Linked DNA regions of Ovis aries. The protein of the gene in region 1 interacts with the protein of each later gene in a pairwise test. Links are inferred from orthologs where the notes say so. Each region holds a gene or a part of one and is shown in the gene's direction. Other genes may lie near its edges. The genes, in order: LSMEM2 and LSMEM1.

Region 1 (3,873 bases):
TGATCCACCGGCAGGTGCCTGCGGAGGAGCGGGCGGAGCGCTCGAGGAGGGGATTGCTGCTGCGCGGGCTACGGCGTGGGGACTCCGGCGTGTACCTGTGTGCAGCGGTGGAGCAGGGCTTTTCGCAGCCACTGCGTCGCCTGGCGCTGCACGTGCTGAGCGCAGCACAGGCTGAAAGACTGGCCCGGGCCGAGGATACTGCGCCAGTCGCCCCGCCGGGCCCCAAGCTCTGGTACCGGGACTTTCTGCAGCTGGTGGAGCCCGGCGGCGGTGGTGCGAACTCCCTGCGAATGTGTCGCCCGCAGCCCGCGCCGCGCCCACAGGTCCCTGAGTCACGGAGAAAGGGCCGCAACCGGAGGACACACGCCCCAGAGCTGCGGGCTGAGCGGGGCCCGCGCAGCGCAGCGGACTGGTGACTTGGCCGTCCCCACGCTGGGGACTGGGGAGGAGGCGGCAGGAGGGAGAGGGGGCGCTCAGACCCTGGGAGACGGCTAGGGGCCGGCGTTTCCTGATGGAGGGAAGACACCGACCGACAGGCCCTGGCCAAGGGGCAGCCATGCTGGCTTATTTATTAACAAGAGGATAACCCTTGAATGTAACCCCAATAGGGGCGGCCTAGGCTGAGCACAGGGTCCGGCTGGTCGGGAGGCAGCAGAGAAGCAGGGTTCCCCGGGTACTTGGGTGGGAGTGGTGCCCGGAATGCCCACCCTGGGAGAAGGACCACCTCTTTGGGCAATGAGCAGAAAGCTGTGAACAGGCTGGGTGGGTGGGGTGGGGCAGGCCGACTGTACTAATGCAATAAACACATTTTCAGCCAAAGCTGGAATGGCCCCAGCAGACAATTGCTGGTCTTAGTGTTACCGACCCAGGTTCTTGGACTCTTTAATCAATAGAAGTTGATAAGAGGCCAGATGAGAAATTCAGGCAAGGCTTCAAGGACTCATGCTGCAGAACAAGGGAGTGAAAATAAGCCACAGGTGCCCAACTAGCAACAGGTGCTCTCCCTTGCTTGTGCTGGGGGTGGGGAAGGAGGGCAGGAGGGGTGAGTTGGTTCCTTAAATGGGGTGAGGGTAGGGTCAGATCCATGGTTCAGGCAGTAGGGTGGCTTAGGTGGTCAGCCTGCCCCCTTGTGGTGGTGTGGCAATTGGTTTTCTGGTCTGTTTTTTTGGGGGGGTGTCTTTTTTGTATCTTGTTTATAATTTGCCCCAACCGCAGGTTTATATAGTTGCTTTTAGTTGCTTACAGCAGGATTCCCCAACCTCCAGGCCTAGGACTGACACTGGTCTGTAGCCTGTTAGGAACCCGACTGCACAGCAGGAAGTGAGTGGAGGGCAAGCCAGCGAGCAAAGCTTCTTCCTCTGCGTCTTTCCATTGGTTGCTTTACCAGCTGAAATCAACCCCATCCCTCCCATCTGGTCCCTGGAAAAACCTGTCTTCCATGAAACCAATCCCTGTTGCCCAAATGGTCAGGGGACTGCTGCCTTACAATCTCTCTGTAGTCCGTTGCTCCAAGAGATGTTTGTCCAGGTGAAGTACTACAGCATAGGGTCCCATGTCTGATTCCCCTCTAGGGGGTTCTACACCCTTTCTTCTTAAGGGTTAAGGGGTTGAAGTTCTCTTCTGAAACCGCAGATCCTAGCCTACCCTAGAGGTGCAGAAGTCCCTCGCTGACTGCTTTCGGGGACCTGGGTTCCCCTCAGCTGGAATCGGTTGAAATCCTTGAGCCATCCTGAGCCTTACTTGAAAACTGTTGGGACCTAGAAGACACAAACTTAACCAAAGGGTTAAACAGACAAGGGCCAAAAAGGAGAACAGTAAAAAGCCAGTAGAGCAGGGGTCACCAACCTCCAGGATCTAATGCCTTGACAATCTGAGATGGAGCTGGTGTAGTAATAGAAAAAAAGTTCACAATAAATGTAATGTGCTCAAGTCGACCTGAAACCATTCCCCTACCCCATGCCCACTGAAAAATTACCTTCCAGGAAGCCAGTGCCTGGTGCCAGAAAGGTTGGAGACTGCTTCACTCAAGGGTCTAGGAAGGGAAGGAACCAGGATAACTTTGACAGGGCTTCCCTAACTGCTGACCAGACAGCGAAGGCGACAGCGCCCCTGCCAAAATTGTGAAGCCATTGCTGCTTGGGTGTCTATTTAACTTTTCTCTTTGCTGTTGCATTGATTTAGGTGCAGCAGGAAGTGTTAGTTACCCCACAAATTGTGCCTTGTTCTGTCAGAAGGTAATCAAGGACTAGATGATTATCAAGAGGTAAATACATTAACCCAAGTAACAAGAGAGGATTAAGTCCCATTAAAGCTTGCTCTTGTTGGTTTTATCACAGAATTAAGCTGTCTGGTGAGATTTCTCAGTGTGGCTTCTTGATAGGGAAAGCTACCCCATGGAGCTACCAGTCCTGTGGCCAGCCCTAGGAAGTGAACATTATTATTTATTTAGGTATTCAGCGGTAGACACTTGGGATCTTTGATTTTCCTTGCAACGTGTGTGATCTAGTTCCTGACTAGGAATGGAACCTGGGCCTCTGGCATTGGGAGTGCAAAATCTTGGCCCACTGGACCACCAGGGAAGTCCCTGAAGTAGACATTGTTAATGCAGTTATAGGCCATAGCTTGGACTTTCCCCGCGGCTCAACCATAAAGAAAACTCCTGCCATACGGGAGACATTGATTCAGTCCCTGGGTTGGGAAGATCCCGTGGGGAAGGAAATGGTGACCGTCTCTAGTATTCTTGCCTAGGAAATCCCATGGACAGAGGAGCCTGGTGGACTACAGTCCATGGGGTTGCCAAAGAGTGGGACACCACTTAGCCGCTAAACAATAAAATAAAGCCTTGTGAATATCAAGTGCCCAGAAGCACCAATTTTCAATTTGTTGTTATAAGAAATGACCACAAGGTGGCAGCATTTCTCCCTGCCCAACTCTTGATTCCTTGGGCAACCAGAGCCTTAGGGGAAAAGTCCCATTCCTGGGTTGTAACTTAGAATGGGATGTGCCAGAAACAACACCCAAGGGCTTGTGTCTTCTTATTTCTTCCACCTTATCCTCCCCCACCCCAGACAAATCCAGAGCCCTGAAAACCGGCTACAGTGAGGGTGCTGAGGGTGCTCTTGGTAGGGTGAGTCTAAGGCAGAAGGTTGGAGGAGGGAACCCCTCAACTGGGAGACCTGAAAACCGGGTGAATTTACAAAGCTCGTCCAGCCCTGGGACTTTCCTGGCAGTTCAGTGGTTAAGACTCACACTTCCAGGGCAAGGGGCCCGAGTTCCATCCGTGGTTGGAGAACTAAGATCTCGCGTTCCATGTGGTGTGGCCAAGAAAATTGTTAAAAATAACTAAAAATGTCAGGGAAAAAAAAAAAAAAACTTCTAGCTCACAGAATCCACCATCCTTTGGGTACGCTAGGCTTGGCTTAGCTAGAGGAGGGTCTGACTGGATCTGGAGACTGTGGTCTTAGCGGAGCAGGCACTGCGGGGCCAAGGGAGGTTCTCTGATGACACAGCCTCCCTCGCCCCCTTAGCTTTACCACCCTCCAGCCTGGAGACCAGGCCTGCTCAGGCTTCAGGGCTGCAACACAGGCCAAGGTGCCAGAAGCCTGAAAAAAAAATAGAGTAGGCATTTCTTTTCTTTCTGTTAAACTTGTATTTTGGCATGTACTTGATTGGTCACTTAGTGGAGTTCAAAGTGTCCAGCGAAATGATCCAGTTACGCAGACACAGGCATCCTTTGTGTGTGTGCGCTCAGTTGTGTCTGACTCTGTGACCCCGTGGGCTGTAGCCCACCAGGCTCCTCTGTCCATGGGATTTTCCAGGCAAGAATACTGGAGTGGGTTTCCTCCTCCAGGGGGAATCCCAACCCAGGGGTAG
Region 2 (3,024 bases), on another chromosome or scaffold:
TTTTACTGATGAAAGGTGAAAGCCCAGAGAGTTTAACTCTCCCTGTTTATTCAGCTAATCCGAGGCAGAACTGGGATTCATACTCTGGCCCATCTGCCTCCAGAACTCCTGGCACTCCACTGCCTTTTGTAGTAATAATAAGAGGCTTCCTGTGGTTTGCAGATAAACTTTAGCCCAACCTAAGACCAGAGTTGGCACGTGCTTGCATGCTTAGCCACTCAGTTGTGTCTGATTCTTTGCGACCCCATGGACTGTAGCCTGCCAGACTCCTCTGTCCATGGGGATTCTCCAAGCAAGAACACTGGAGTGGGTTGCTATGCCCTCCTCCAGGGCATCTTCCCAACCCAGAGATCAAACCCAGGTCTCCCGCATTGCAGGTGGATTCTTTACCATTCTTTACAGGCCTCTGTAAATGAACTTGGCCTGTGCTCATCTTTGAAGAGGAAACCTTTCTGCTCTCACTGAGAGAGCAGATTTGTATCATTTTAACTGAAGTGTAAGAACTTATATCTGGCATTTTTATGCAAGAGAAATAGGCTATTTTACATTGATTACATTGATTAAACTATTGGACCTTGTGTTTTTGTTACAATCTCTGTTCTAAAGAGGAATACCAGACAGCAAGGGTAGATTACACAGGATGCCTACCTGCCTCTGTAGGTTTACAAGGGCCAAGCAATGTTAGATATGAGGTGTGTGGGATGTGATTAAGTATTGCCTTCATTTTAAAAAGGGTTCTATGGTCTAGTGAGTTTGAGAATTGCTAGGTTAGTAATACTCAAGGTATTTTATTTTACTTTTTGTGAATTTCCAAAATGCAAGTCAGTATATGATTTTTTTCTAATGTTTTTGCATATAGAATCCTTTTTCTCTTTTGGAATTTAATTTGGAGCTAATATATTGTGGAACAGACTTAATCCAACCATGCCTGCTACTCCCTTTTGTGTTTGACTCATGTAGAAGGTTCCAGAGAGAGGAAAGGATGTCGCATGCTGTGGATTTACTTGTTTCACACTTTTCTCCAGGAGCGAGTGGTATTTCTTCTGTCTGGCTCTGCACCAACACACCCACGTTCTAGAGCACAGTTCATCCAAACATAATTTTCAGACACAATGGGGAGGTGGCTTCTGGGCAGCAGTTTGTCCCAAGGCTGGAAGCTGAAGCTCTGATGCCTTCCCACATTAGTTGTTGGGCAAACTCGGTGGTGTGTCACCACCTGCATTAGTTCCTGAAAGCTATCGTGGAAAACACTTGCCTGAAATGGAAATGATACAGAGTCCATGTATTAAATACTGATTTTGTGCTGCCTTTCTTGGAAATTTTAACTGCCAAGTAGGCCTTACAGTGCTCCACTCCCCGGCTTACTCAATACCCAGGGGCTCTATTTATTTTGGAAATATGGTCTCTCTGCTCTCGGAGTGGCTGGGGAGAATTATTATTATACATTCATTATGGACTGGTAATTTAGAACCAGGAGACCTATGGGTTGGAACCCAAAATATCTCACCTCCCAAATGATGAGTGAAAAACCTTTGCTGAGAACAGGTCTCAGAATGAGACAACAGTCCCTTCTCTGGGCATAATCAGACACTGGCAGTTTTCCTGTGGTTGTTCACACAATGTATTTCTCAGCCAGAATCTGAGCAGAGCTGCCAAAGGTAGTCAAGTCTGGCACAAAAGGGTTGTAAAAATAATTCACTTCATAGGAAACTTCAGTAGTTTCTCTCCCGGGCCTCAGGGCTGCATGGGCTATTGGAGCAGAGGATTTGCCAAGACGGCATCTCTGCTCCCCAGCTGAACCCCGCCATGGGCTCTGATGAGTCGCGATGGAACACGCTGGAAATAAGCATAATGCTGTCTATTTTTCACTTTTAAGTTCAAACTGAAAACAAGATGGAAGATGTGTCAAGACGACTAGCAGCTGAAGGAAAGGACATAGATGATCTTAAGAAAATCAACAGCATCATTGTAAAGCGACTCAACCAGCTGGACTCAGACCAGAGCTAAAGAAATGAATCGTCCAAGAGCAACTGCTAACACCTGAGCTTCTCACGGTCCAGGAAGGGTGTATGGTTTAAGAACCATCAAGGGTATTGCTGTGGGTCTTGAAAGACTGAGTTTGAATTACAGAGATGGGAGCAACTCCAAGGCAAGAGGGGCTGGGGGCAGCTGCCAGAAAGAGGCTTGCTTTGTGGGAGTGTCCTTCAGCTTTCATGGGCTGAAGGGTGGGAGGCATGGAGGAAAAACACCAGTAGATGAGAAAGGGAACTTGGCTCTGCACATGCAGCTTCTTTTACCAAAGAAGATTTGTCACCAAAATAAGGTCACAGTGGCCAGTAAAGTTCATGGCCCCTCATGTATCTTTATGAACTCCCGGAAAAGCCTAAGGGATTTGTTGAATTGTTTGTATTCAAGGGAATCAGGTGATAATTCTTTTCAATAAAGGAGATTCTGCTCAGGTGATTATACTTGACTCTTACTTCTTCAGGGATGGGGGATGGATCGACTCAGAGCTATTTGCCTACAGCTGTTTGTTGATAGTAAAGTGCGTATGGTAGGGTGGGGACCAGAGGAGAGAGCCCGAGTTATTCAAATTATGTTTATTGAGCTGTTGCTTTTTGCAAACCACTGTATTCTACAGAAGTTTACATTCAAGTGGGGAACAAAGGAGATATGTAGTTATATATAGATATATGAGGTTTTTGGCTTTCCGACAGGAAAAAAATCCTTCAGTAACCCGCTGATTAATTGTGCAGAAATCTGCTGGGTTTATAGGTTATAAGTTTATTAAGTTGCAGTGAGAAATTGTATATTTGGAATATTTGGAACCTGCCTTGTTTCAGCACAAAAGGTAAGGCACAGAGTTTGTGAAATTAGACATGCTGCAATATAAATGAGCTTAAAAGTACGAATCTTAGAAAATGTTTACTATAAATATATTGTGTAAGTCTGTTCTGTGAAATGTATTATTGTTCTATCATTTTGGGTTCATTAAAAACATTTGAGTTTATTCTAAAGTTATAT

Evidence for each region.
Region 2: the proteins of LSMEM2 (region 1) and LSMEM1 interact in binary tests that used the Homo sapiens proteins (3 or more experiments, as listed by UniProt). The two-hybrid records come from large-scale screens. The link is inferred for Ovis aries from reciprocal best matches to the Homo sapiens genes LSMEM2 and LSMEM1.

What each region holds. Positions count from the first base shown.
Region 1 is NC_056072.1:50,135,146-50,139,018, reverse strand, and holds the start of LSMEM2 (leucine-rich single-pass membrane protein 2), read left to right. Parts: upstream 1-775; 5' UTR 776-3,873. Other genes in the region: SEMA3B (semaphorin-3B), read left to right, coding at 15-416.
Region 2 is NC_056057.1:57,453,967-57,456,990, reverse strand, and holds the end of LSMEM1 (leucine-rich single-pass membrane protein 1), read left to right. Parts: intron 1-1,876; coding exon 1,877-2,007; 3' UTR 2,008-2,463; downstream 2,464-3,024.